2 linked regions of the Tribolium castaneum genome follow. The protein of the gene in region 1 binds, or shares a complex with, the protein of each later gene. Links are inferred from orthologs where the notes say so. Each region holds a gene or a part of one and is shown in the gene's direction. Other genes may lie near its edges.

Region 1 (15,570 bases):
ACATTTTAAATACAGTAACTATAAATAAAATAAACCACTCAAATAATTTATTGCCACGAAATTTTGCCTTTAATTTCAATGAATGAAAGTGGCTTGCTCAAAATTTAATGCAAATAAACATTTTTTTTGGTTTCATTTTTATTATTATTTTTTTTAATGCTACAAACGGTAGCCAACGTGGAAGCGATATGAAGGTAGGTGTATTTTATTGCTGTGTCGTATTTATTTATTTCAAAAAACCAATAATTTCATAAAACTTAATTGCAATTAAAATCTTTAAATGCGGTATTGAAAAGTGATATTTTGAGTGACACATTTTAAATACAGTAACTATAAATAAAATAAACCACTCAAATAATTTATTGCCACGAAATTTTGCCTTTAATTTCAATGAATGAAAGTGGCTTGCTCAAAATTTAATGCAAATAAACATTTTTTTTGGTTTCATTTTTATTATTATTTTTTTTAATGCTACAAACAGTAGCCAACGCAGAAGCCATATGAAGGTAGGTGCATTTTTTTGCGTTTTATCTTGTGATGTGTTGATTTAATAGCTTGTGTGCCATATATTATACCGTATTGTGTATTCTTTATTCTGTATAATATTTGTTAAAGTCGCTTGTTGTAACTTTCCTACAAATTAATTTTTTTGTTGGTTGTGTTTTTAATTTATTTTTTAGGTCATTCAAAGTCGAATTTTTCGAAAACGGGGCATTTGCACAAACTTTCATGGTCATATCTTTGATCTAGAGGCTTTTTAAAGCAAAATGCAAAAAAAAAATTTTCAAAAATCCAGAAGTAGCTAAAGTAAAAATTTACCCAAAGGGGAATTACACACTTAAACGGGCCTTTTGGCACGTTTTGTGTCCAGTTATGGGGTTAAAAGGGCGAGACGTGGCACCCGATCACCGGGAATCACCCACTGTGTGGAAAATCAGGCAATACCAACGGCCGGTAATGCAGATAACTGGACAAGTCGCGACGTTGTGAGCAAAATAAATGTAAATTCCACACATAATTGGGATTTTTGCCCCTTTGCGACTTACGTAATTGTTGTACGAGTGTCTAAAATAAGTGGCAGACTTGCGGGAACGTTATTACGAGTGTGGGTAAAACAGAAAACTACAGTGTACAAAACATGATTTAATAAAATTTATTCGAACATTCATATAAATTAATTAATTACAAACAATTAATGAGCCGTCTCGCCGCCCCGTTGCGGTATGTGCTCATGGTCGGGGAAATAAAACCCGAAAAGTACAATTGTGAAAACACCCGTCATTAAAATGAGCCCCACTGTGGCCGTAACCGTATACAAATGAGCATAAACGTACCTGTAAACTCCAGTTAAAGTAAAACGTAAAAATTGTGTGTACTTGTGTACTTTACCTGAAATACCAGGCTGACAGTAGTGTAAAACTAATAATGGCAAAAAGAAAATTCCCTAGATCCCAATCCCGCCCTTGATTATTGTTATTATTAAGATTTGGGCGGGGATTGTGGGATTGTTCGCTGCGGGATTCTTGCGACTCTTCCCCGGGGGCTGGTCTTCGCTGGTGGATGAGACAGTGGACGACACAGTTGTCAAAAAGTCCGCAACCTTCTAGCGTTTTGGTGTCCTGTTGGAGCACCTGGCCGTTGAAGATGAGGCGCACGAGCTTATTGGAGGCCAACTCCACGTGAAAGTGGCGCCTGGAAGGCCAATTTCGATTTTTTAACAAAACCTGTTTTTTTTATCTTGTCAGGTTGGTACCAACATTGAAAGTGTTGGTGTTAATCACTTAAAAATCAAAAAATTTGGGTGAAAAACGTGATAAATCGACAGTTTTGTGCGTGTTGTGGTGCCCCTGACCCCCAATTGTCCCAGAATCCATCAGGTGAGTCCCCACAATGCCAAAAGGTAAACCTAGCCTCACTTACTTTTTAAAATCGCCTAATAGTTCCTGCAACTTGCCGTCGACCAATTTGAGGTCGTCGTTGATGTATTTAAGCTTGATTGTGATGTCGGTTTTGGGGGTGGGCCCCGCGGGGCCCCTTTCGGGGGCCCCCTCGTCCATGGCCTCCACAATGCGGCTGCGGTCGTCCTCGGAGCTCGAGCCTGGCTCGGGGGGCTTGGGGGGCTCCGCTGGACTGGTTGTGCCTACAAATGCATTTGAGATAGTTTGGGTTTTTTGGGGGGCGCACCTTCGGCTATTGTGACGGCATGCGTGTGGTTGGTGAGCCTGCGTGGCGGCCTGTGCCGGCGGCGGTCCAGCAGCCACACGGTCTGGACGTGTCTTTGCTCCGAAATGCTTGTCGTCCACCAGGCTAAAGACACTGAAACAGGGGGGCTAGTGGGGCAGTCGGCGGCATCGGGGCGCCTTACCGACTAACATTACCAACAGTGCGATAAAAAAATGCGTCACTTCATCGCCGATACCATCAATCAGGGGCATTATGCTAGAGGACGATGCGTTTTTGTCGCAATATTTTACACCAATCAAATGCACGGTGTTTTAAAGAATTGTACGAAAATTTGGCAATTAATTAATTATTTGTTCGATTAAGACGTCACTAATGCCCTAATTTCGTTGTGTTTTTCACTTTTTAAGTGTTTTTTTGACGTCTGTCACTGTCACTTGTCAAATCAACTGTCTTTTTTCACCTTGAGATGAGTTAGAGGTGACTGCCGTCAGGTGGCGCATAAAATATGTAGGTATACAAGGTGATTCAATTAAAACGGCCCGTAATCACAACAAACCAATCACAATTCGCAAAATATGGCACAATTATCGTAATGTTGATAAAATAATTAGATAATTACCTTTTTGTCGGGTGAAATTGCGTCGATTGTGAATCAATTGGACTCAAATCGGTTTGTCTGTTGTTGGTAGTTTTTTCTAGAAATTATTTGATAGTGAAATGAATCACGTGATTCGATAAACATGACTGATAAAATGTATGAAATTGTTCTGTTGTTTGTAATCGTTTTAAAATTGTTGATTGTGCGAGTTATTATACTTATCAGTGACCTTTGATTGATGGGAATTTGTTTTGTTTTTTTTTTAATGAAAAGCCCTAGAAATTATTAAATTAAAAGGATGGTAACGACAGGAAAAATAAAACATCAAAAAATCGAAACAATTGACGTTTTGCATTTTTAAGGTGTAAAAAAGTCCATAAAACTTTGTTAGAGCGAATTTGATTTTTTTTTATTTTTAACCACTAAAATTGTAGGTAAAAAAAATAAAAATTTTAAATTTTATAAAAATCTGGTAAAATACGTAAAATGAACTGTAGAATTCAATGAAGTAAAACGTTTTTTATTAGTCTTAAAATAAAAAAATAAATAAAAATAAAAAAATAAAAAATAAAAAAGTCACAAAAATGTAAACATTTTAACTTTTTTTTAATCTGTCAAAATGGATGGATTTTATCAATTTTTTTTCTCAAAATTTTGAAGTTTTTGGAGGCCGTTTTAGCATTTTTAAGTGGGAGCGGAAAATTTTAAGCAAAAAACTTTTAAATCTCGTGAAATGCTGGTACACTACGTAGAACGAGAGGAAGAATTCCGTGGAACAAACGAAAAACCATCATTATTAATTAATTCTCTAACACTTATTTAACTTTCTTTTTTGCCCAATTTATAAGTAAAAGTAAACTTTCACGACCATCTCGTCCCCTTTTAATTAATTGAACCGTCTCACAGACGTAATAAATAAAATCCGACACTTATAATGATAATGACCCCTTGAAGACCTTTTCAACTGTAGTTTCCGTTCCTTTGTTACAATCCCTTACAAATGATTAAGTCCGTGTTCAGTCACTTGAAGCGTTACATACACATCCTGTCTTGCCGACAACACTGTGAGAAAATTCCCTCGACCCTTCGTACACGCCTTACGACAAAAAAAATCAATGATTTATTTAAATGTGCCGCCTTTGGTACAATTGGTGTTACCAACCCACGTCACCAAAAATCCCTTTTACGTTTCTAGTGCTTGTGTGCTGGTTTACCCACAGATTTAGGAATAATTTAGCCTTAAAATGGGTCGTATGCACGCACCTGGGTAAGTACCCCCTTTTCCAACCCTTGATCCACCCTCTAATGTACAAAATTCGACCATTTGGGAAAAAAAACACCAAAAAAATGAGGTTATGTCACCTCGTGGTTTATCAAGTTTTTTCGTTTTTCTAGCAAAGGTATCGCCCAATCGGCGTTACCTTACCGTCGCAGTGTGCCCACGTGGCTCAAAGTGACCCCCGATGAGGTCAAAGACTACATTTTCAAGTTGGGTAAAAAAGGCCTAACTCCCTCACAAATCGGCGTGACCTTGAGGGATTCCCATGGCGTGGCTCAGGTCAGATTTGTGACTGGTAATAAAATTCTGCGCATTATGAAAGCAATGGGGCTTGCGCCTGATTTACCCGAAGACTTGTACTACTTGATTAAAAAAGCCGTAGCGATCAGGAAACACTTGGAGAGAAATCGCAAGGATAAAGACAGCAAGTTTCGCCTGATTTTGGTCGAGTCGAGGATTCACAGATTGGCCAGATATTACAAAACTAAAAATGTTTTGGCCCCCAATTGGAAGTATGAGTCTAGCACCGCTTCGGCGCTTGTGGCTTAAGGCTTGAGTATTTTTTACGAAATAAAAAAATTAAATCGATTTTTTGTGTTTTATTTTTATCCAACATTCCTCAGTTACAAATACTGTTATTAGGAGTGTAATAGTGTCTTGCTATTACGCTACGAACTTGGTATTATTAGGGTTATTACTAACATCCGGAGGTTTCTTACTGACATGCAACATCGAAATCAGCTTTAAAACGTTAAAAAAATAAAAAAAAAAGATTGGCTGGGGCGGGGTTTGAACCTGTGCCTATATCAATTTTTGGGTCTTTGATGTTATTTTTTGCAATTTTGGCTTATGTTATTGATTTAAATGCGCAAATAACGAATGTGGGACTATTTTGACTTCCGGTGTTTATAATTTTAATTTGTTTATATTAAAAAAAAGATAACTGGAGTGGGATGTGAACCCTGGTCTTGTAGAATTCAATTAACTCTGTTTGTTTTTTTTAAACCATTTCTTACAATTTTCATAATAAATGTCAGCGATTTTTAACCAAAATTTGAATATTCTGTTTGCAAGCGTCAAAAAATTGAAAAGTAACATAAAAAACAGGCTTTGGTGGATTCCAATCCACGTTTTTTGGAATTTATTGAAAAATTTTGATTATCGATTCTTTTTTTTTTTTAATTTTAAACACGCCTTAGTGTTGTGTTGATCTGTTTTCCAGATAAAATTAATAAAAATAAACCGGGCTCGTGCAGGATTCGAACCTGCGTCCTCCGAAGTTCAAATTTTTAGGCCGGCGCTCTAACCACCTGAGCTAACGAGCCATTCCTTGATTTATTTATTAATCCAAAAAGTTAACTTTTAATTAGGTCATTGCCGCAATTTTTTATTTCCATCATTTAATAAAAATGTAAACACAATTATTCGTCCCAGATGAAAAAAAATTCCAAATATTCAAGTAAAATACCAAAAAACATGAGTTCAAAGCCCGCCCAAGCCAATTTTTTTTTTAATTTTAAACGGCAAAAAACTGACGAGGGAGAGAAAATACTAAAATGTATCATTTTCGAATAGCGATGATATTTTACGTAAAACACAATGATGATCAGAGTTAAATATTTAGCCACTCATTTAACTGGAATTCCGAAAAACGTGAGTTCGAATCCCGGCAAAGTCAGTTTTTTTTCTTGTTTTTTTTTCTTTTAATGCGACGCATTAGACAAAAGGCATAAAATTTGAGCCAAATTGATTTATTTTTTCCTTCCTGACAGTGTGGCAGATGAAATAATTAGAAAGTCGAAATAATTAATGTGCAAATGACAATATATAAACGATTAAGATTTTGAACAAATTATTGGGCAGTCAGTTATTTAATCTATTTAAAAAAATCCTGACCTGACAAAATCAATAAAAAAAAAATTTTTTATTCTCAAAAATTAATTACAACTCGTCTCGATCATCCTTGGGATTCCCCTTCCTATCATAATTCTTCAACTCTTTGGTCGCCTTCTTCGCCACAAACTTGACAACTTCCTCGGCACTCCTCTCCCCCTCGTACACCACCGGCCCCCTTTTCCTGTTCTTGGCCAACCAGAAAATATTCGGTATCCCTTTCTCGTTGAACACTTCAGGCACTTGATTCTCCACGGCATCCATTCGGACAAAAGCCACATCTTCGTGCTCCAAAAGCTCGGCAACTTCACGCAAAACCGGAACAAACTTCTGGCATTTGAGACTCCACGGAGTGTACAAATCGAGAAGCGTGTCTTTGCCGTTGTTGGTCACCGTGTGGTTGAAGTTCTGGGTGACGGCAATGATCACAGGACCGTCGTTTTCCTTGGGGATGGGTTTGGAGCGATAGTAGGGAGTCAGTTTCCGGTTGATGAAGTTCTGGACGAAGTTATCAAAAGTTGAGGTGGTGAAAGGTTCCACCATGACGTATTTTTGGTTCTCGAGGTCAAATGCCACAACCAGGGGGTTAGTGGGGGTGAGGTTATCGGTCCGGAGGTCGGAAATTTCGTCTTCGAAATCGTCGGTAGCACTTGTGGCGATTTTGACGAAGTTTTGGTACTTATGGGCGATTTTAATCAAACGATAGCGCCAGTAATTTAATTCGGTACCACCGGAGTGATAGTCGATTGTGTGGTAGACGATGACCAAAGGGTTGGGAAAATCGTGTCGATTGTTGGGCGTTCTGTGGCCAATTAAACCGTGGTAGTTCCGTGTAATAAAATTTTTTATCTCCCCAATGATACTCCTCCCTGTGAAAAGTACCCGTTCTGGTTCATACTGATTGTGGAGACTTTTTGGCCGAAAAACCACAATCCCATTACTAACACCTTGCTTCAAAATCACCTTCTCACAACTAGAGTACGCAAAAATCATACTCTCTTTCATCTCCTCCGCGACACGGAAAAAAATCCTCCGTAGCTTCGTCTCCTCTTCGAAAAAACCCACAACAATTACATCATCCTGCCCTTCAATAAACTGCCGAAAGTGCTCAAAATCCACCAACTCGACCGGATTTGGCACCACTTGAACGCGCATAAATTTCACAATACTGCGGGCATCTCTAGACCCGGTGTACTCCTTGACGAAGCTTCCGTTACGGTAGAAGTGGAACACGGGAAAGGGGTAGGTGATGTTTTTTTGGGTACATGTCGTGCGACCCCTTCCAGAACAGTCGATTTTTGCGAGAGTTACGGGGATTTGGTTGGTGGATAGAATGTGGGCGGCGCGTGCGAAATGGGGGCGGGTCTTTTGGCACATGCCGCTCCACGGAATGAAGAACTGGACGAGCAGGGTGGGGTTGAGGCGGAGCTGGCGGTGGAAGTTGGTGTCGGATAGGCTGAGGACGTGCGCGTCGGAGGGATGGGCGGGACGGATGTGCTGGAGGAGGAGGAGCAAGAGGAGGGGCCACATGACGGGAATTTTGACGTTTCGAACTGATTTTGAGGTTATTGTCATGTCACCCAAAAATTAAAAAAATAAAATAAAAATACCAAAATACTTTGGGTCTAACTTGCCGTATTCTTAGTAAAATAAAGGAAGAAGAAAAAATAAAAAAACTGATTTTGATTGTGTAAAGGAAAAAAAAACGAAAAAAAAAACTGATTTTGCCAGGATTCGAACTCGCGTTTTTCGAGTATGTCCGTTTAGATATCGCTTTTTTCGATTTTTTGGGTTTCTAAAACGCACGTTCCTTATCAATTCGCAACCTTTGCCCCAACCATTCACATTTAGGGTCACTAAAACCATAAATTGGGTCAAACACTCGAAATTTTATCGCTACAATAAAAACTTATTACATGACACTCGTAAAAAACCCAAGTATATCGTAAAACAAAGCCGCATCAAATGGAATTTCTTGTTTACATTATTGAGATGAGAGGTAAAAACAATACAAAAGAATAATTTGTTGTCGCTGCATGGTACGGTTGTGTGACCTTGATATTGTATTAAGTAATCGCTAATTCACTAAACACATTTTTTGTAAAAAACGGCCATAAATCACCGTAACGAGTGCGTTAACACTGATGGTTAATAATCTAATAACTCGATTTTTACGGATTTCTAGCAATTACAACTTCCGATACTTTCATTTCCAATGACACACTTTTCTCGATTTTTTTTCCGGTTGAATGACCTCGAAAAAGTAAATTTTGCATCAGCAAGGTCATAATTTGTTATCAACCCTTGATGCATCAAGCAATCGTGTGTCAATTTTTCGAAAAAAACGTCAGTGTTGCCACACTAGACCCGTAAGTACAAAAAACACTTTTACGATTATTCGTAGTTTTTTTGGGGCAAAAACGCCTCCACAAACCACAGTTCCACTCGTTTTAATTTTGCATAGTTTCAAGGCCTTTTGGGTGCACCTGCACCCAAAGCCTCAATCTGGAACGTAAATAAAAAGGCTTGGGGGTGTTTTGTGAAGTGCGAAACGTCGCATTCGCGTCATTTGGTGACTCACTGTCGGAAAAATGTGCCAATTATCTCGAAATTCCTCAAAATTATCTCAGGAATTTTGGTGTGAATGGGGGGTTTTTGGTGTGTGGTTGGTAGCGCACGTCCCCCTCTCCCGTCACTAGTGTGCATAACATGGCGTCTTTACCGTGGCAGTTGTGTTGTGATTGCGTTAAAAATCCCGTTTTTTGCACTTAAAATCGAGTTATTTCCGGCGGAAAAGCGTCCCGGGACCGGAAGTGGCGTGCATGTGTGCAAGTGCGCCCCCTTTGAGGATATTCCAGTGTTTGGTGTATGTGTGACGTTTGTCCGGATTTCTCCACAATTTATTAGAAAGTTTATTCGCAAACGTAGGTCCAATTTATTGTTTGGGGTGTTTTTGGGGTCGGGACACACCCATTTCGGGGGTCTTGTGTCCCCAAAATTAATCTAGGGCACGGATTTGGCGTGCGTTGGAATATATCGAAGGCGGCGGTGAAGGGTGTGACAAAATGGGTATCAAAACAATGGATTGATAACGTGATAAGATTGGAGAGGTCAAGGATCGAATTTAAAGGGTGAAAGTTTGTTGACATGCAAATCGATCAAAGTGGCTGGGGATAAAAAAACAAAAATTTATTATTGTTCCTAAGGTGGCCATGAAAAATTATGCCAAAAACAATTGATTGAGACATACAATTACTTTAATAATCAGTTTGGCTATGAAAAATTTGACGTTTTTGTTAAATTTTTTGATCTGACAAGCTCTAGTTTGTGGGAAAGTGAAATAACTTAATGCTGATAATTGAATTATTTTCGCTTAAAAATGCGTTAAAACAAAAATTAATCAGGTGGCCATGAATTTGTCATGAAATCTACGCTTCCATCAATTATTTTGGTTTAAAAATTGAAGAATTTATCTAAGTTTATGTTTTTTTTTATTCTAACATAGTTAGCCATGAAAAATTGTGTCAAAAACAATTGAATAAACTGTTATAAAAATCAAGTGGGCGCGGTAAATTTGGTAAAAACCGGAATTTTGTCGTAAAAGTTATAATAAATAATCAGCTTGGCCAGGAAAATTTGGCATTTCCATCTAAATTTTTTGATCTAACAAGCTGTTTTTAGATGGATAATACATTTTTGTCTAATTTTTTAATTAACAAAAGATTCACTAATCTTTGGACACTAAAACGAAATTAATTAGGTGGCCATGAATTAGTCTTAAAAAAATCTGCGTGGCCATGAAAAATTTTACATTTCTATCAAATGTTTTGGTTTAAATACCGAAGAATTTATCAAAATTTATGGTTTTTGTTTCTATTTTTATAATTTTATAACTAAACAAAAAATCTAATTTTTAGTCGTTTTTCTATAAATTTGGTGTCACAGTAAGGCAAACAAATTAAACTGTGTGTTTGTTATTTTTGCTCAAAATTGGATGAAACAGTGTTTTTCTGTTTTGTTTAGGTGGCTATGAATTTGTTTTGTAAAAAATCTCCGTGGCCATGAAAAGTTTAACATTCCTATCAAAAATTTTAGTTATAAATTCCAGAATTTATCTAAATTTATATGGTTTTTTGATTCTATTTTTGGTTAGGTAACAATTTGGTACTCCGTTGGCCATGAAAAATTGAATTACATATTGAAATATATATTTTTTTTAAATCACAGTTGGCTGCTAATTGCCGGTTAGTATCTGAAAATAGTCGACCTTCTAAAATCTAAATAATTAGTTTTGTCTTTTTTTATAACTATTCCTAAGTAGAAGAAATCAAATTAAAAAAATATCTGAAAAAGGCAGTGATTTCCTAATTGGCTATGAAAAATTTACAAAAAATTGTAAGATACTGAAGTTCAACTATAATGGAAATAATTAAAGGGGAACTACTCAAACGAGTGTTCAAATGAAATAAAAACAAAAAGATTTATGAATTGTTTTAATTAAACCATGACATTACCTTACAGTGGCAAAAAGTAAAAAAAAACTGTTTTTTAATTAAAAAATAAAATGCCAACCAGAATTAGAGACTGTTTTTATTTTATTTTTAAACGTTTTTATTTTTAAAGTATTCAAATTAATTTATATTGTGGCTAAGGTCATCACAAACTTGCGATGTTTGTGTCACGCGTTTTTAATGTTAATTTTCTGATAATAATACTGTTGAATTTAAAAAAAAAACTGATGTGTAAGGTAATGATAATTTAGGAGCAAAACAACTAATTTTTCTTTAAAAAAACAATTACAAATTTAGCAAGAAAAGGTTTGAAAAGTTCTTTAAAAATTTAAAATTTCGTATTTATCGTTGCATTAATTGTCAAATTATTGCACGTTATCTTATCTCTGGTTTTGTATTATGTGGAAAAATTCTGTTTCAAAAAATGAATCAAGTAGTCACGACATTTGTGATTCACTTATTTTTGGTTGAAATTTTGCTAAAAATAAATTTGATGTCACAATGGGCCAAAAAAAACTGTCACCAATTACGTGTTTATAGAAAAACAGGATTCGGTTAAAAATAATTGATTGAAATAAATTCTCAAACATTCTTGACCTCCGAGCCTTCTTTATCTCAAATTATGCGGAAATGAAACATTTTTCCGACCATTGTGATAAGAAATGGTTCTTCAGGTCTGTGATACCGACAATGGAATGACGTATTCGAAATGAGCGAAGTACAACAACAACCCATGGCGGCCCACGTAAAACGGCCAAAATTCGTTGGGTGTAAAGATACAACAGTACCATCAGTCCATGGACGACCCAACAACCATCTCAATAACAAGATCAGACTAAGCAATCATCAAAGGAATTTGAGTTTGGACTTTAGGTAATAAAGTACTGAACAGAAATAGAAACTTAATCAAACCAGCTGTGAAACAAAAGCGCATTATATTAATAATTTGTTTTCTCGAGCGCGGCCTACTACTCGTTTCCGATTTACTCAACAATCTCTACCTACATATATTTTGTAAATAAATAAGATTTCACTTGTGTGTGTGTCTGTCGAAAGTGTTTGCCTAATTACAACCTAATTAGTTAATTAAAACGAGGAAAAAATCGTGCTTAAGCGAGTGATTGTGGGGCGTTTAAAAACGCACGAGTGACCCAACAATTTTTTTTATTTATTTTTTTTTTTCGAAAAAAAAAAACGCGTTGGTGCGAGTGAGTCAACTATTTTTTATAGTTTTTTTTCTGTAATTTAGAGACGAAAAATGTTTTTTTTTAGGTCGATGGGTATTTTGCTCCCTCCTGTCGCCCAGATAACGTCTTCCACCTCCCCCCACCTCACCCTTCACCATCGCAATCGCAGTCTTGATTCGGCCCTTCAGCGTATTCCCGAAGTGGACGTTACACCAAGTCCCGAATGTGAACCGACTGTTGTTGTAGTTGTACCACCGATAGTCGACCCCAAAACAACACGTGATGAACTTGCCAGTTTGGGGTCGGATGATTCGGGTATATTGTGTGGAAGTGATTCGGGTTCAAGCGATACAAGTACAACAACGCGTGAATCAAGCGTTGACGAGACGAAAGCCGAGTGTTGTATAACACCAACAACAACACTATCACAATCCAATGAAACGAGTAAAGGATTTGGAATGTTGAGATTATTGGAGAGTAAAGTGTTTGATGTGTCAATGGCAATGCATTATCTGTTTAAAAGTAAAGAACCAGGTGTGCAAAGTTATATAGCGAATAAGATGTTTAGTTTTGATGATGGAGAAGTGGATTTTTATTTGCCACAATTGGTTTGTATGTATATACAAATGCACGACGTGGCTGAAGTTATACATCCGTATCTTATACATAGGTAAGGACGAGCGTAGTGAGTGACTCAAAGTTAAAAGTTGAACATCTGATGTTTTTCTACCCTTTCTACATCAATTTTACGGTTCATATATACAAATTATGATTTTTTTTAACTATGTACCCCTATACCCCTTTTCTCAGATGTGGAAAAGAGATAAAAATTTGTTATTATATTTTTTTTGACTTCCTGCTAGTTGAAATAAAGACATATTTGAGCCTTTTGTTGCAAAAACTTGTTAAAATACCCCTTTTTGCGATTCTAAAATGCCCAAAATTATCCCTTCTTCCCTGTTTGAATGTCGGAATGAGATATTTATGATTTAGTTTTTTGGATAAAATGACCAAAAACCCCCGTGTACCCCTTTCAGGTGTAGAAAATCGATCGACTTTTCGCTAAAATGTGCCTGGCTTTTGGACGCCTATAGTTCTGATGCTTCAGTACCATCGAAAAAGAAACCACTCGGCATCAAACTTCGTAATCTTATACTTTCCGACGAACTTCGACCCAAAGACCATAAAACACCCATCATGGTCTCTACCACCTTTAGCACTCTACATTCAACAACTACGAAAAAATCACATCAACGTTCACAAAGCGACGCTTCAGCCCTTGGTACACGACGCCCTTCAACCACCGACAAACGCCTCTGTATGGGCGACCTCACCTCCGGTCGTGCCTTTGACAACGGATGCACATGTTTCGACAGTTGCAGAGGCGTCGTCAATGACCTACGAGGCAAAAAGACTGAATGCACGTGCTCGGTAAGGGGTACCCCTTTTCAGAAAATGTTAATTTCGGTCCCCAGGCTTAAAATACAAGTCCTACCCCTTTTAGAAAATCCCGACCCCTTTTAGAAAATCCCGACCCCTTTTAGAAACTGACGACCCCTTTTCTAAAAATGCGTTTTTAGGCTCCTAGACTCGCCCCCGAGCTTGAATTTATGAAAGCGCTGATTTCAATCGGTAAATTACTGTCTTCTATACCGACCAAGGAAGCAAAAACTACAAGATTAGTAGCGGAATTAACGACACTTAATTTGAATTTGCCGGCTCGTGTTTGGTTACCCCTAGCAACGACCCCACATCACATTGTTAGGATACCGCCACAAGTTGGCGCCGTCTTAAATTCCAAAGATAAGGCACCTTATATTATCTATGTCGAAGTGGTGGAAGTTGATGATTTGCATACGTCAATTGTTACACCAAAAATATGGCCAACGTTACGTCACACAAAATCTGAGGAAAATTTAGGTGATACGACCTCATTATCGGCGTTTAGTATGTGTGGGGGTTTGTGTGATGATACTGACCCCGATTGGAGTCAGGAGGATGATGAAATATCGCAACAGGTAATTTTTGGTTTACAGCACGAGGCAAGTGAGTGCCTCAAACTATATATTTTTTTTCAGTATACGCAATTGAAACGTATAGCTGATCGCGATACGTTGTCGCAAATGTCACAAGAATCGAGTGATTCGAGGGAACCCCCGATGTGGATAGCAGCCGGGGAAATACGCAGACGTTTGTCTGATTCAATTCATGAGGAAAAAAATAAACAGTTCACCCATGATCCTCAGGATCCTTCTGCCGCAGTGCTGAAGGAACCATGGCATGATAAGGAGAGACGTATTCGTGAATGTAGCCCATATGGGCATTTGACATCATGGACGCTACTGTCAGTGATAGTGAAATGTGGCGATGATTTGCGTCAGGAATTAATGGCATCGCAACTTTTACAAATGTTCCAGAAAATATGGGAGATGGAACATGTACCATTATGGGTGCACCCATATCGCATACTTTGTCTATCAAATGATAGTGGGTTGATTGAACCCATTTTGAATACTGTCTCACTCCATCAAATCAAAAAACATCGACAATTGTCACTGTTGGAGTACTTTATCAATGAGTATGGACCAATAACGTGTGAGGAATTTTTGACAGCTCAGAAAAATTTCGTACAAAGTTGTGCCGCCTATTGTCTCTTTTGTTATTTGATACAAGTGAAAGATCGACATAATGGAAATATTTTGTTGAAAAGTGATGGTCATTTAATTCATATCGATTTCGGTTTTATACTGAGTATGTCACCGAAAAATTTAGGATTCGAAACGTCGCCGTTTAAATTAACGGCTGAGTTTGTTGAAGTCATGGGTGGTGATCAGTCGGATATGTTTGAGTATTTTAAGATTTTAATTTTGCAAGGATTGGTCGCTGCAAGGAAACATATGGATATGATTGTTCCATTGGTCGAGATTATGAGATCAGGTAGGTTTTTTTTCAAAAACTTATATTTTCCAAACGGTGCATCGTACGTGAATAATTCTTTCATTTTTGGATTCAGCGGGTCGTTTTACGTAAGAAAAGATGTCGGTTTTAAGTTTATTCGGGTGAAGTAGGTTTGACTGTAGTTTGTTGAATTTTGGGAAATGTTATTTTTTGACTTTAAATTCAGTTTTTGTGGGTTGTTTTACGACGTACACATTTTTTTTTCTTTAAAATTCGGTTCTTTTACGGTAAAAATAGCTGAACTAAGAATTTTCTTGTCATACCGGGTGACCACAATTTTGCGGCCACCTGCATATCTCGGTTAAAAATGGCGCTAGAGCCGTCAAATTTTCTCTGTACAGTGTGTTTTTAACCTTGTTTCAGGTTCGCAATTGCCGTGTTTTAAATCGGGCGCAGCGACTGTCCAGAATTTGAAGAACCGTTTCCACATGAGTATGACCGAGGAGCAGTTACAACTCGAAGTGAATCGTATGGTGGAAGTCAGTATTCACTCACTATCAACGAAACTTTACGACGGTTTTCAATATTTCACAAACGGGATACTTTAAAAAAATGCTCAATTATATCATAAACACCATGTATAATAATTTTAGTGCGAAATAAAGTGATCTGATTTGCCATGTGAGTGAAGAATACTCAGCGGCCAAAGTGTGGAAGCAAAAAAACTTTGTATATATAACATTCCATTTGTACAGTTGTTTTTTAAAAATCTAGTGTTTTTTGTAAATATCTACGTAAAGTTTTAGTGTTGGCTAGATAATTCACGTTATCCATCCATTTTTAAATAAAAGTAATATATAAGTATATATTGTATAAATACATGACTGAAATTATATAAATGAAATGCAAAAAGACTGATGTCAGCAGTAGGCTTTTTGCAGGTGTTATTACTTTTTTTTTCTTGAGTTGGAAACCAATCAAAACTGTGCATGTTTTATTATGAAATTTTTGAATATTGTA
Region 2 (15,145 bases), on another chromosome or scaffold:
TGTTACAAATTGCCCTGAATGATCTTACAATCATTGTTAAATTAACCGTTTATTTCTGCAACTGAAACTTACTGTTGCCGTTCAAAAAAAAGAAAAAACGGCTATTTTATCACCAATTAACCCGTTGTTTTTCGCAAGTTGCAAACTTAATTATCCACAACAATTCGGGACACACATTAGCCTGTTGATGTTTTACGTATAAACAGGCTAATTTGGTTTCCCAAAGTTTGATAAACAAATTACGAATTAATTAAAAATTGTTGTGTTATTCATTGATACGAAAAAAGCACAAAGAGCCGGATAAATCCGGTGAGAGTAACTATATTGCGGGATTAATTTGCCGATTTTTATTGACTAAACATAAACATGACGGTAATGAGATGACAACGACGCCATTGAATGCGCTCATAAAGTGTTACTCTTTTAGAAGTGTCTTATTAGCGCCCATATAAAGGATTTTGCGTCGAAATTGATTCCACAAAGTGTCAATATTTCGCCTTGTGGCCGAGATCTAGCACAATTAAGTCAAAAATAGACCAAAATTACGCACTCAATGCCGTTTAAATTTAATAATTCTTGAAATCGAGGCAAATATTTCTGATGGAACGCATCTTGGGCGCCATAATTCACGGAATCTTGATCGCATTTATCGCTGATTTTATCACTTTATTTGCAATAAACGCCGGTTTGTTTACACTTCGCGATTTCCACTAGATACAATAGGAAATCTTCCAGAATTTTCCTGTAATCTCAAATTTTCCAACACTTGCACATTAAGTACACACAGTGATGCAGTCAATCGATCTCGCTTTAGTGTTCAAAAGTGAAATTGCTTTTTAAATAAACCGCTGTCTATAAAAGCCAGCGCAAAAGCTACTTATTTTTTTTTTACTTTGAGCGGCTTTAGAAAAAAGAATATGGATATTTTAGAATGTAAAATATAAAAAACGGCGCCCTTTTAAGAATAGACCACCAGTAGCGTCGCACCTATTATCAGTTTTATCACTTACGTAACCGATAAGCGCAAATAGAGTAGCTGGAGCTAATCTCGTTCCCGAGCCCCAATTTTCACTTATTTTAATCTCGTATCGTGAAAAGCGTCAAGTTTATTAATTTAAACCGTTGGCGTTGTTTGGAGCATGTGAGCATCTGGCGCCAGAAATCTAACCGTTAACAATTTTAGATTACAAAAACACTGGCTTTGTCTCACCGCCAATTTTTCTTCTGCCAAATATTTGACACTCGAATTGACTACAAGAAAAATTCAACAAGATAAAACGGAAGTCATATGATGGTTTCACGCCTCCGGACCAATCAATCTATTTTTAAATCAAACACCTCTGACAATTGTTTGTACAACGTACAGGAAGTAACATTAAATATTTATTTTGTGTTATCGAGTCTTCGCATGAATACATTTCGGTTTGTTGTTCAATTTTGCAATAAATTAACGGTGTCATGTACTAATAGATGTCAATTGATTGCGTACCATTTAACCCAAAAAGAGTCGGAGCATTGACGTCCGTACAAAGCAAATTTATTTTGACTCAAGTGTTATTAAGCTCCGCCTAGAATACTGACAGATGGACGTGGCTGTGCGAACTATGGGCGGAGCTAGAGATTTAATCAAACTTTTATTGCCACATATCTGCAAAAATCGCTAATCAACAGATAAATCTGTCCGCATCCAGTTTGCGCGCTTGTTATCGTTGGAAATGAATGCATTTGTGGATTTATCGAACTGCTCCAATTCCTGCAACGTAGAAGGACCAACGCGTCGCTCCTGCACGCAGTTCATGCCAGAGTGCACGTAGACACCCCGAAAAGGGGCACAGGACGACGTAGCCGTGACGTCACTGGAAGGAACCGGGAAAATCTCCCCCGTCTTTGTCCAACACACGAATAAGAAACGAATGACCTGATTCGGTTGACCTATTTTCCTCAAAACTGTCAAAACAAACGCGCAATGTTTGTAAATACGAGCAATAAAGCGCCTTATCAGTCGTAAAAAATGAAATTCTGGAGGTGTTTTCACGATTCAAGGACGTAGTTAAAGTTATTCTTCGACGGGCGTTGCTCGAATAAATTAAACTTATGATAATAAAAACCCGTACGTGACATTCAGCAAAGAACGAGACTTTTTCCTATCAATGCCTTTCATTTAGCGAACAAGTCACTGCCAAATTATTCTCACTTGTTAGGAATTTCGCTGGCGAGTCACCCAACACCAGGGAAAACTACCAGCAAATGGGTGTATCGCGACCAGATAATGAATGGAATATTTTTATAAAAGTTGCAGATGTTGCCAGGAATTACCTACGCGCGATTACCTGTAATTACGTGACTAATCGCTCATTAATGGATTACCAGTTCGGCAAATGACTAGGCAAATTGTGCCCAAGCAGGAGTTGACAAATATCGTAGAATTGAACTCTTATCAGAGAAATAATAAATTGGTCGTTATGAAATGTTTCAACCTACGTAACTGGCGTTCTAATAATACAATGGTAAAAAATTCAAGGTTCTGCCCACATAAAGCGTTCCGTGATATCGGAACAAACAGTAAATTAAATCGCCCCAAATTTATTGAAAACTTGGACTTGTTAAATTTAATGCTCGCCGAAATGGCTAATAAAAAGCCACGATGTTTGTAAAGGTCATGAACCGGCAAAGCGTCTTCCGTGTTGTTATCCAACGGCGTCTTTAGGGCGGCGTGCAACATAATTGAAGGAATGCCAGGGCTTGATGCTGTTTGCAAAATTCCTGGTATTTTTAGCGGAAGCTCAGTCAAAATACAGCTTAGCTAGGTCAGAAAGGCCGTTGAAGGTTGTCTGCTCGCGTACAAACGAAGGCGTGTCGTATCGATTTTCCCCGTCTTCCTCCCTCGAGGGAGAAATGCATTCGAGTTTGGTCGATGCAGGAGAAAATTTCCACTATTGCACCCGTTTGAGGGTCAATACTCTCAAGGTGAATGATAAAATTCCGGAGTCGTTGGAAATTTGCCTCTCCTTTTATACCACATAAAAGTTAGATTGCTATTTATAAGGCGAGTCAACATGATGTATAAAGCGAGCGACACTTGCTGCCTGGTAATTTTCCATTCGCTCGGGCGCGGAAAGAAAGAAAGATTGTAACACACGGCCATAAGGCAAGTTTATTTCTGCATATTACATACAAATTGGTTCCATATAAGTAGCAAAACATTACGATACAAAGGGCGCAATTTGTATAGAACACATTTGTACAAGAGTACGTAGAATTACATTGTACCAAATGGTCTCGTATAAGTATTATTGTACGTGTAATTCGTTAGATATGACTGCAAAACTATTTCGATTTGGAATGTTCCTCTAGATGAGAGACTCCGCTTGAAAGCCCTCATTACAATTGCTTATAAACTATGCAATATACTAGTCCTGCTCAAAATTGCTGCGACTGACTCGCAGCAATTCGGAGCAAACTCCGATAACAAGCAAATATAGGCTCTTAAGTTTAATATAATATTTCATTAAAAACTCCTATTTCCTCCCAACAAACAGTCTTTCAGTAATAATAGTCATATAAATATCTACTTTTGACGACAGTAATAAGTCAATGATTAGAAACCGACCGAGCTAGCCTCCAGAAACCCTACCAGTCTAAATAAATCTAGAAATTTCGCTACATATCACAGGGCAATATACCAATTGCTATACCTGAACAACGCAACGTAGTTCGGTTAGCACGGTCGCAGTCACTCAATCGTCCTCACTTTCTAGGAGGTGGAGTCCTTCGGCTCCTCGTCTCAGGAACTCGTTCTTTCACTTTCGGCATCTTTACTCCTGAGCGACTTCTTCAACTTATCCAAAAGCCTGTTGTGGAACTTGTTGAGACTTGTCTCGGATCCGTTTTTTGGCGGCGACGAGGACGTGCTCTTGATGGGGCTCTGGAGGCTGCTCTGGGAGGTCCTGGAGCTGTTCCGGGAGTACTGTCGGGACATGTTGGCGGGCACACTGCGGTGGGTGGGCGAGACCATGTAGTCGGACCCCGGCGAGGTGGACAGGCTGGGCCCTTCGCTCTTGCATTCCGACACTTTGCGGGAACGGCAGGACGTCGGGTTCGAGCACTCGGAGGTCCTGCGGGAACGATTGGACTTGTATATGTCCCAATCGTTCTTCACAACGGGCATCATGAAGGCCATGGTTGCAACAATTACACTCACTCTTGCACGTGCTTACTAACAGAATGACAACTTCAGCGTGCTTCTAATACTTTTATGTCGATTACCGGCGTGTGACGGCGGCTGTGATTGGCTGGGAGAGTGGAGTGGGGGACACACCTTTCCCAAATCACCACAAGTGGCGTCCCCAATATCAACAAACGAACTAATCGATCAAAATATTTCACGCCGGACGCAAATATTCCACAATTAAATCACCGGAGTGATTTACTGCAATCAAAACAGCGGTGATTTGAAAACACCCACGAGGAAATTGCCAGTTTGCAAACAATTTACAGGAACCTGTAAAGTGAATTATGAGCTGTTAGCAAACATGAGTCATTCCCGATTGTAATTACACCACTTATCGTAAACATGTTTTCCTGGTGGTGTTTAATTTGGAGCGAATCCAAGGAAAATTCTAACTTTAGGTTTCCACCAACAGCCTGACATCTACTGACGAAACGCGGGACAAGAATTGACAGAACAATTGTCAAAAATTTGTATAAATCATCCAACTATTTGTTGCAAAAATGTCGAAAATTAACGACGTTACGACCCTTTACAAGCAACTCAAGTCAGAGTGGAACAACCCGAAGCCAAATCTGGCAAAAGTCGAGCAGTTATTGTCAGAATTGAAGGTAAGTGATTTGGGAGGTTAGGTTCGATGATTTGTGTTTTTTCCTTCCAGCTTGAATTAACTCATTTGATGTTTTTGCCGACTTCGAATGCGTCCGCTTCAAAGCAAGAATTGTTACTAGCACGGGACGTTCTAGAAATCGGGGTACAATGGAGCATAGCTTCGAGTAATATCCCCGCTTTTGAGCGATATATGGCACAATTAAAGTGCTACTACTTTGATTACAAAGACCAACTCCCTGAATCTTCCTTTAAGTATCAATTGTTGGGCTTAAATTTGCTATTTTTGTTGTCGCAAAACCGCGTCGCGGAATTTCACACTGAGCTGGAACTGTTGCCTGCGGAGCACATTCAGAATGATGTTTACATAAGGCATCCTCTGTCAATTGAACAGTATTTAATGGAGGGCAGTTACAACAAGGTTACTTTTTATAAACATTGAGCAACGTGTTAATGAATGAGTTTTAGATATTTTTAGCCAAAGGTAACGTGCCGGCAAAAAATTACAACTTCTTCATGGATATTTTGCTTGACACAATTCGCGGCGAAATCGCCGTTTGTGTGGAAAAAGCGTACGAAAAAATCTCGCTCAAGGATGCCGCAAGAATGTTATATTTGGCAAACGAAGAAGCCGCTAAAACTTTCGGCAAAGTAAGTCAATTGTATCACGAGGTACCGAGGTGTATATTACATTTTTTCTTAAGTCGCAATTCTTTAAGCTTTGTGATAATTTGAAATGCGGACGTTAGATTTTATTTTTTTGCAGAATAAGAAGTGGAAGTTGGGCCGCGACAACTTCTTCCACTTCGCGCCTGAGGTCAAGAAAATCACTGAGCCCATCCCATCGTGCGAATTGGCCGAGCAAGCGATTGAATACGCCAAGGAATTAGAAATGATTGTGTAATTTTTGTAATTTTTTTTTATTGAATAAAATAGATTTTAAGCGATTTTATTTTTTTGTGTAATCAAAGTCGCCCCATTCCTTTGAAAATTCCACTACGCGTTTGCTTTGCTCGTCAAAACTTTGGTATTTAGGTTTCCGCCATTTACTGTGGTGCAGATCGAGCATTCCGCCGATGACTTCTTGCGCAAAATTATTGGGGAAAGTTTTCTGATCCTCGATAACGTGAGCAAACCCTTCTTCCATTCCAAACGAAACAAAAAAATACGGGAGGCCTTTTGGAACAGCCCTGCGCACGTCTTTGCCTTTCAAAGACACCAATTTTTTATTTTGGGCCCATTCGGCCTCGCATTCGTCTATCGCTTTTTTGAAATAGATGGGGGCCAAGTCGCCCTCTTCCTTACCCAAGGGGATACACTCAATGTACATGTGGGGATACCTATCCAGATTTTTGGCCGTTTCGAAAAAAATAACGTCCAAATTTTTCGCACTAAACATCCTTGTTAAAGCCTTTCGGAAGTCCATTATGTCGCTCCATTCGTTTTCGTCAAGTAGCGTGGAACACGTGACGTGTCTTATGGGGGCTATCAAGCAGTGGCCTTCGTTCACCGGCTCGTACGGAGGCAAACTCAAAAAGGCCGTCTCGCCTAACGAAACCATCAAATGTTTGGCCATGGAGTCGGACTGAAGACACAATTTACAATTATCTATGCTTTGAGCCACTCTTTGATGCTCGTTAATCGCCCGGTCACGATTCCTCCTATCAGTTTTAGCCCCATCCTCTTTTTTCCGAATGTTATCGGAAAATATTTCATCCAAATCGTCGTTTTTCCGGACTTTGCTCGCCATTCGCATAAACTCGCTATTCTGGTCTTCCACTGAATTAAATTTCTCGTTTTCAAACATTTGTTGGAGGGAATGTTTATCATCATCGGCGAAATAACGCACTCTTTGTCCATCCTGATGAGTCTCAACTTTGCGTTTCCTTTTACGGCTACCTGACGGTTCATAATCGGCTTGTTGTCTCACGGGTCTCGTGTGACCCTGAGAGTCAGTTTGAGTCAAGAGAACTTCTTCCGTAGGTTTAGACGAGTCTTTCCGTTGCCTTGCAGCTTCAAGTTTCGCTTTCAGTTCCTTCACCAGTTCCGTCTTGCCCATTATTTCGGCTTTTACCAGTTTAGCCGCGAGGGCGTTTAATTCTTTGTCCGATAAAATTTCGCCCTGATCTTGCGCTTCTGGGCTAGTTTCACGTTCTTTGGGCTGTTCTGATGGTTTCTTTTTCCAGTTTGAAGATGACTGTGGCCTATTGGTTGATTTATACGAGAAATTGTGTTCGTCGGACGGTTTTTTAAATTTCGGTAAACCATCACCGCCGTCCTTCCAGTACGGATTTAGTTCTCTTGAGTGTGATCTCGGATTGTACTGCTCACGTTCCCTCTCCCACCGTTTGTTTTCTTCCCGATTTCGCCTCCTGTCCAAATGCGATTCGGTTAGAAAACTGGACGGCAAAGACATCCATTCTTCTCGATCAGTTGACGATTTTTCTTTAGGTTTATTTTTACTGGTTTCGTCCTCAGAAGACGAATATTTGTCTTTTTCAACCCATTCGTCTGAAGATGAGTCAGAGCCCGACTCGCGCGCCCACTCCCGTTTTTTGTCTTTTTTATGTTTTTTTGATTTCTCTTTATGTTTACCCTGTAAAAACGCCGGTTATTTGTACAAAAATCAAAAAGAAACTATTACCATTTGCGACGTTTTGTGAGGTTAAATAATTGTCAAAAAAATGGGGATATCACCAAAGTCACGCAAGAAATCCCCAAAAAAATTAACATGGCTGCCGAGAGTGACAGCTCACAACTTTTGGAAAATTTCTCAAAATTAGAAGTAAAAACCGCAAAACGGAAAAGTTCGGTAAATAACGCATCGAATGATACCCTAGAATATGGCCTACCGTTGACCGAAGTTTACAAGCTTGCCTTCAGTTTTTACAAAGGTTTTTGAAATCGTGAAGGTTATCACCGTTTTCCTTACTTTTATTAAATTTCTTCCAGAAAAGGAAGGCAAGGCCGTTCATTTTAGTTATGAGGATAAATTACAACTCGTCGCTTTCTCCCAGCAAGTCCTCCACGGTCCATTATCAGAAGCCATAAATAAATTACCTCCATTAGGAACACTAGACGTTGTAGGCAAAGATAGGCGATTAGCGTGGCAAAAACTAGGAAAATTATCAACAGATCAGGCAAGAGCAGGTTTCGTGGAACTGTTGAGTCGGCGGTGCCCCCTGTTCTCCGCCTATGTCGAGGCACACAGACGGGAAAAGAAGGAGCAAGAGAGAAAAGCGTAATTCGTAACTAAACCTTTGATTTTTTCACTCAAAACCCGCCTTTAGGAAAGAGGAAGAGAAACGTAGACTGATTGAAGAAGAGGAGAAGCAAAAGAAGGAGGAAGAAGCCAAACTAATCCAGGAACAGTTAACTAAAGAAGAAGCAATCAAGAGGCAAATCCAGCAAGCTCTGAACGAACAAACTTTCGACCAATTTAGGAAATATGCCGAGCAACAATTTCCCGGCGATCCCGAAAAACAGGGCGCTCTTATTAGGCAATTGCAGGATCAGCACTACATCCAGTACATGCAACAATTGCAAGCGGCACAAAGGGGGGAGCAAATAAAAAGCGTCGATGAGGAAAAGACTGATCCCGATTGGGTAATTACCCTTTTATTCATACCCATGTGATAAAATAATAATTACAGAACAATCAAAGTGACGAAATAAATTTAAACGAATCTTCCTCAAATAGTTTAATCCCGGCCAGTATGTGGACGCGTTCTGGCATCGACGAATTCAAGCAGACTGTGGCTCAGGCCGAGGGTGATGGGGTTGTGAGAGTAGGCCATGGCGAGACTGTTACTGTTAGGGTCCCCACACATCCGCATGGGACGAGACTTTTTTGGGAGTTTGCCACGGATCATTACGATATCGGTTTTGGGGTTTATTTCGAATTTGGGACTCCCACAAGTGACCAAGTTTCGGTCCACGTCTCTGAAAGCGATGACGAAGACTTGGAAGACATAGAGGAAGAGATTTACGATGAAGAAGCGATACAAACTGGCGACTTGGAGGCCGGCTCTGTTGCTGTTAATGGCATTTCTAAACCACTTCTCACCGAAATCGTGCCAGTTTATAGGAGGGACTGCCAGAGTGAGGTCTATGCAGGGTCTCACCAGTACCCAGGCCAGGGAGTTTATTTACTTAAGTTTGATAATTCTTATTCGTTATGGAGGTCTAAAACTCTCTACTACAGAGTCTATTACACGCAATAATTAATTATTTCATTATACAGTTGTTTTGTATTCGTTTTTAAGCTTTGATTACGTTTCTGATCAAAGTGGCCTGGGACTGAAAGTTGGTAACGAACTATCAATGTCACAGACCACTCTGTTTAAAAATTTAATTAAAAACATGGCTTATCGCTTCTCTTGAAACAAGCTGACGGTTTTTTTGGTTTTTCATTGAACTATTCTTCTAGTCTGAGCGCAAAAAGTATTGTAAGAAAGTCTGTGGTACCCATTGAATAATAAAATATTTGTGCAATTTTTATGTAGTACGAAATAAAACTATTGTACAAATCGAACGTCTTTATTTTATTAAAAAAATACTCCAAGGCACATGAATAAAAAACTGTTACATAAACTACACACCTATAAACTAAATCTGTGACGCTTCCTGTCTCAATTCCTGTGAGAAAGCCGGCAAGCTTCGCAATTTCTTGGCGATGGCGAGTCCCAACTCCCCTGAATTCTTCGTGGGGCTCATAATGAGGCGTCTCCTGAGTTTCGGGTTTAAACTGGGGCGTTTCGGCAACGTCTCAACGGACTTTTCCTTGGCCGTTTTCCTTGCGGGGGTCCTGTCTTGATCCACTGGCGACCAAATGATGGGTTTTCTCCTGGGTCCTCTTTGAATAATTACCATTTCGTCGGCACTGGCGTTTTTATTGGGCGTTTCGTGATTGGCTTCATTAAAGTGGATTTCGGTTAAAGCCAGTCGGGCTGAACGGCGGGGCTCAACCCTTTCGTCTTCTTCGGCCATTTTGGGGGTTCAAAAATGACTATTTTAGTGATGTTCTTGGAAAAACGCCCGAGTCCCGAGTTAACCTCACAGGACCATCGTTTCCCGGGCGCGCTAATTTTCCCTCTATTTTTTGGACACGCGGACTCAACGGCTTCTCCCCACCACCCAAGTGGTGGCCTCTATCAGCTGATTCAACAGGTGGTGTTTGTTTGGGAAGACAGCTGATAGGGGAGCAGGAAAAAATAAAAAACCGTTTCATTTTACATTTCATCTGACAGTTATTATTGTTATAACCCCAAAAGTTACAGACATGTCAAATAGTCACAGCACACTCTGACGTAAATTTATTTATTAAATAACGATACAATACGTAATATTTTAATTTGTAATTATTTTATAATATTTTAATTAAATGCAATGGAATAATTTACACATCTGCAATCTCCTCTTCATCTCCCCCAATTGCGCGCCAAAACGCCGTGACCACCTGCTCGGCGCACTGTTTCCTCTGATTCATCGGCAAAGACTGCAAACTCTCCTTCATCATGCTTAATTGTGCGAATAAATCGCTAAAATCATCGCTTCCTTCACTTGTAAGAAACTCCTCACACAACTCGACCACACTGTCGTTTTTCTTCTGATTTTTCACGCTCAAGTCGTTTTTCTCTTGGTTTTTCATATTCAGATTGGACCAAGTGTGGGTCTGGAGGGCTTCAATAACCCTTTCAACACCAATTTTTTCCTCTATTATGTCCTGGTCGCAGGTTTGCGATCCTGGGTACAGTTCTATTAATTCAAAGCCGTGCTTTAAACACCATTCTGTAGCGGCAGCTTTGGTGATTTTCGTCTCGTTGGTACAGTAATTTGCGATTAGGAGTTTGATCTCGGGATCGCAGTCTTCTTGTAAACTGGACCACATTTCTAAGTCCTTTAAACCATTTTCCTTGTTTGTGTCTATGTGGATTACTAGAGCCTCGACGTTGTCATTAAATGCCTGACTTCTTTCGTGGTGTTCTGTTATCCCAATTACATCAACTTCGGCGGTATAATATTTGGTATCGATTGTCCAAGTGTGGACGATCTTGGTAGAGTCAAGGGGGTCCTCTTGGATGTCCGCACATTTCGTTATGAGCTTAATTAACGACTTTGGCTTAGTACTACTGCTACTAACGATAACCACACTCGGTTTTGCACTCATTTTGACAAAAAACTATTTTTAATCTTCTGTTTGACAAGTGTCAAAGTTTTAATTGAGGTTGTGTTTTTATAACCACAAAAACAATAACATTTTGACTAAATACAAAAAGGCTGGCCCTCGTGTTAGGCTAACGGTACACACAAAAAATACAATTTTTTGATTAACTCATATACTCATATTTAGTCAAGTTTCTTTAAAAAATTGCCGAAAACATACAAACTGAGGTTATTTTTTATAACCTTAAATACATTCGACACGTGTGTTTGACACCTAGCTCGTTTTACTAAAATTTTGGCTAAATGGAAGAAAACGACACCGAAAATCGAGTTAATTTCATCACTTGCGTCAAGTGGGTGAAGAAAGGAGTGGCAAAAAGCCAACCCGAAAAGGTAATCTACAAAATACAGTAACCTCGCTCATGACTCGGTTTTTTAGGTCCAATTGTCCAAAGCCGAGCTCGTACAAGTCATAAAAGCCACAAAAAAGAAACTTCGGTACGTATTCGAGTTTTTGTTACTTGTCACCAATCAGTTTTTTAAAACAGAGTCACAAATGAGGAAAATGCTCAAGGTGAATCATCGGCTCAAGATGAGTTCAATTTGGAAAATTATGACGAACAAGACGGTAACTGAACTTAGTGTTACGACACCGTTACGTTACGTGACTTTTTTTTATTAGAAGGCACCGCTGAGGCTTTGGGGATAAGTTCACTGGCTGATTTACAAAATAATGAGGAAGAAAACTTCTCTGAATCAGACGATTCGGACAAAGAAGACGAAGTTATCAAACCTAACGATAATTTAATTCTAGTTGGACATGTGGAAGGTGACGCAAGTTCGCTAGAAGTGTACAGTAAGTACTGTACTTGAATTAAAACCAACAAAAAAATAATTATTCCAAGTTTACAACGAGGAGGAAGAATCACTTTACGTCCACCACGATATCTTACTTCCCGCCTTTCCACTTTGTTTCGAATGGTTGGACTACGAACCCAACGCCCCAAAAGGCAGTTACTGTGCTATAGGTTCCATGACCCCCATTATCCAAGTCTGGGACTTGGACATAATTAACTGCATAGAACCCGCGTTTAATTTAGGCCGAGCCGCAAGTATTAAAAAAAACCGACCTCACGTCGGCCACAAAGACGCAGTTTTAACTTTGGCTTGGAACAAAACCTACGAACACGTCTTAGCTAGCGGTTCAGTTGACAAAACTATACTTTTGTGGGACTTGGAGAACAAAACTCCAAGTACGACCATTTCCGCGTTCAAAGACAAGGTCCAGTGCATGCAGTGGCACAAACTGGAAGCGCAAACTTTACTAGCTGGGTCTAGCGACAAGAAAGCAAAAATTTTCGATTGTCGCAACCCTGAGACACATCAGACGTGGAAAATAAATGGGGAGGTTGAAACTCTGGTCTGGAACCCGCTACAACCGTTTTCATTTTTCGCCGGTAGTGATACCGGAAATTTGCAATATTTTGATTGTAGAAAAGGTAGTGAGTTTTTAGTAAAATTCAGTCGATAAAATCGAGATTTAGGTCAAGTGTGGGCTGTTGAAGCCCATGAAAAGGAAGTCACTGGGTTGGTTGTGAGTCCGCAATGTCCCGGTTTATTAGTCACATCGTCGCCAGATGGGACGATAAAAATTTGGGACTACACCGAAAATGAAGCCACTTTCGTGTTCGAAAAAGATTTTAGTTTAGGGACAGTCCAGTGCCTGGATTTGTCGCCCGATTTGCCGTTTGTCATAGCGGCAGGAGGGGATAATAAATCTAATAATTTTCTAGTTCACGATTTGAGAAACATCGATGTTGGTACGTTGCCCATTTTTGGTAATTAGTAGTTGGTAAAAGTTGTTTTGTAGTAAAACACAAGTTTGGAGACCGGCAATTAGAAGAATTAGTCGCAGAAAGTACAGAAGAAAGCATGAACACTGATTAGATTTTAATCAAAGTGTAATAAAACTCAATAAAACAGAATTAATTGTACTGTGTCTTAATTACGAGTATAAAACCCCACCTTGTTGCATTTCCCACAGAAATAATGAAACGGCCGCGCTGTAAGTTACGATTGATTTAAACCAAAGCCGTATTATTTTTTTTAGGTAAAGTGATAATAAATCGGGTGCAATGTTGTACAAAAAATTACTTCCAAGAGACCTCTCTGCACGGCTTTCGCTACATAACCGACCAAAAATCGTCAAAATTCAAATCATACTTTTGGGCTTTGGTGTGCACAATAAGCACTTGTTTGTGTTTCATTTTAATTAGATCACAGTTCGTTTCCTATTATTCTAATCGGATTACAACAACAATCGCCACCACTGCTTTCCCCATCTGGGAAGTCCCTTTTCCCGCTGTTACCATCTGTAATTATAACGTAGTCTACAAAGACGCAACAATAAAAATCAGGCAACTGTAAGAGCACAAATATTTCGCATAAAATCGTATGTTTTTTTGAGATTACACAATAGAGTCTCATCGGCCGAAATTGACAACTTTTTTGCAAATTTATCAGTATTGGTGGCTTCGGCTAAACTCGATTCGCAAATAAACTGGACCAAACATAAAAAAATCATCGCGATTTTGCAACGTTTGGGGTACACCACTGATGTATTGATGGCTCAGGTATTATTAATTCCTGTGAAATAATTTTAAAATGGTAATTCCAGTTGGCACAACCTTGCGAGCAAATGATTTCCGATTGTTTCTGGAATTCCAAACAGAGCAATTGTAGCGACATTTTCACTCTCGTGAAGACAACAAGCGGTTATTGCTGTTCTTTTAATTACAAGGGAATCAAAACTGATCAGTTATCTCATATTTAATTGTAATGAAAGGGAATTAATTTAAAATTTCAGCCCCAACTTTCGGGAGATTTACGCAAATGGGGTCGGGCCGTCTTTTGGCCTTTCCGTCCGTCTTCATGCGGAGGAAAACCAGTATTTATCGTCTGTGACTAAGACTTACGGAATTGATGTTTCGGTTCATGAAAATATAAAATATCCTGATTTGTCTATTTACAGTACTACAATACGGGCAGGGAGCGAAGTTTCGTTACCTGTCCGGCCCGAAATAATACAAAGTGAGGACAGTGTTAAAGATACAGATATAACGACCCGAGGATGCGCTTTTTCCGATGAAGTAACTCAATTCATACGTTTAACTTTGTGTAACTATTTTTTAGATCAAACTGAGCTGGTCACACAATTACAGTTACGCCACTTGCATAAACCAGTGTAAGGCAAGAGCGATTAAAAAATTGTGCGGTTGCGTACCGTACTATTATTATCCAGTCTTTGGTAAAAAATTAAATTTTGCTTTTGTCGTTTGATGATTTATTTCAGGCAAAAGTAAATATTGTACGCTTCTTGATATCACGTGTGTTAAAACAAATCATGTCAGATATAAGAATTCGGAAATTGAATTGCAGACGCGTAAATAAAATTTCAGTGTTAATTTTTTAGACTTCAGTTTTTTTAGAGAAAGGTCACCACGCTTTCGTCAAGTGTCAGTGCTATCCGCAGTGCAACGAAATTTCGTATTCTTATCAATTAGATCAAGAACAGTTAAAAATGTAAATCGTTTCTTTTTAATTTTTAGTTAAAAAATACTTTGTAGCTCCGAAAATGAACCAAAATCAAACGAGAGCGTTTTGCAAGTGTATTTCGAGAAAGCCTCTTGCACAAAATTGCAAAGAAGCGTCCTAATAACTTGGGAATTGATTCTCGGTACAAAAATTCTCGTGAATTGCGGACGAAAGTATTAGGAGGTGAACCGGGGTACAAAAAACGTAGCTTTTTGTGTTAGAAAGGGCTATATTTAACAAACAACATTAATTTTTTGAGAGATTTTAAATCAAAATCGCCTCCTAGTGTTAAGTCCTTGGACGAACTTTTAGTAACAAAGATTTTCAGCGTCCGTTGGCGGCCTCATCGGCCTGTGTCTGGGAGGTTCGATCCTGAGCGTAATCGAGTTTGTTTATCAAATATTTGAAGCAATTTTTTCCCGATATAAAGTGAAAAATGAATACAAACCGAAACTGTATTTAACCGACTTTAGCGGTCACAAAAATGTGAAATTCGTTTCGCCTAAATACAATTAAATGTTGTGGGCCCTCTTATGTGCCCCCATATGT

Evidence for each region.
Region 2: the proteins of fwd (region 1) and Golgi resident protein GCP60 are in contact, whole or in part, in an NMR structure (PDB 2N73), measured with the Homo sapiens proteins. The link is inferred for Tribolium castaneum from reciprocal best matches to the Homo sapiens genes PI4KB and ACBD3. Residues at the interface, in NP_001317650.1 of Homo sapiens: Val37, Gly38, Val42, Ile43, Asp44, Pro45, Val47, Ala48, Gln49, Lys50, Ala51, Cys52, Glu54, Val55, Leu56, Val59, Lys60, His63; in NP_073572.2 of Homo sapiens: Gln245, Ile246, Ala249, Leu250, Gln253, Thr254, Gln257, Phe258, Tyr261, Gln265, Tyr266, Leu276, Leu280, Gln283, His284, Gln287, Tyr288, Gln291, Leu292, Val295.

The regions. Positions count from the first base shown.
Region 1 is NC_087400.1:4,121,263-4,136,832, forward strand, and holds the start of fwd (phosphatidylinositol 4-kinase beta), read left to right. Parts: upstream 1-8,625; 5' UTR 8,626-8,878; intron 8,879-11,139; 5' UTR 11,140-11,174; coding exon 11,175-11,338; intron 11,339-11,737; coding exon 11,738-12,322; intron 12,323-12,689; coding exon 12,690-13,083; intron 13,084-13,232; coding exon 13,233-14,589; intron 14,590-14,973; coding exon 14,974-15,158; 3' UTR 15,159-15,570. Other genes in the region: transmembrane and ubiquitin-like domain-containing protein 1, read right to left, coding at 1,193-1,334, 1,390-1,692, 1,921-2,140, 2,185-2,316, 2,366-2,435; small ribosomal subunit protein uS15, read left to right, coding at 4,027-4,049, 4,178-4,610; protein disulfide-isomerase A3, read right to left, coding at 6,003-7,529. UniProt on the Homo sapiens protein: Phosphorylates phosphatidylinositol (PI) in the first committed step in the production of the second messenger inositol-1,4,5,-trisphosphate (PIP). May regulate Golgi disintegration/reorganization during mitosis, possibly via its phosphorylation.
Region 2 is NC_087402.1:2,410,448-2,425,592, forward strand, and holds Golgi resident protein GCP60, read left to right. Parts: upstream 1-7,568; coding exon 7,569-7,731; intron 7,732-7,789; coding exon 7,790-8,078; intron 8,079-8,127; coding exon 8,128-8,443; intron 8,444-8,490; coding exon 8,491-9,060; 3' UTR 9,061-9,371; downstream 9,372-15,145. Other genes in the region: uncharacterized protein LOC100187736, read right to left, coding at 3,785-4,180; 26S proteasome non-ATPase regulatory subunit 8, read left to right, coding at 4,732-4,839, 4,890-5,258, 5,306-5,488, 5,604-5,741; CWF19-like protein 2 homolog, read right to left, coding at 5,787-7,433, 7,482-7,484; alpha- and gamma-adaptin-binding protein p34, read right to left, coding at 10,236-11,006; nclb (periodic tryptophan protein 1 homolog), read left to right, coding at 11,306-11,395, 11,442-11,500, 11,551-11,630, 11,685-11,858, 11,908-12,501, 12,547-12,822, 12,873-12,949; pickpocket protein 28, read left to right, coding at 13,627-13,635, 13,680-13,819, 13,869-14,151, 14,195-14,309, 14,355-14,444, 14,491-14,584, 14,629-14,776; zinc finger protein 664, read right to left, coding at 15,109-15,145. UniProt on the Homo sapiens protein: Involved in the maintenance of Golgi structure by interacting with giantin, affecting protein transport between the endoplasmic reticulum and Golgi. Involved in hormone-induced steroid biosynthesis in testicular Leydig cells.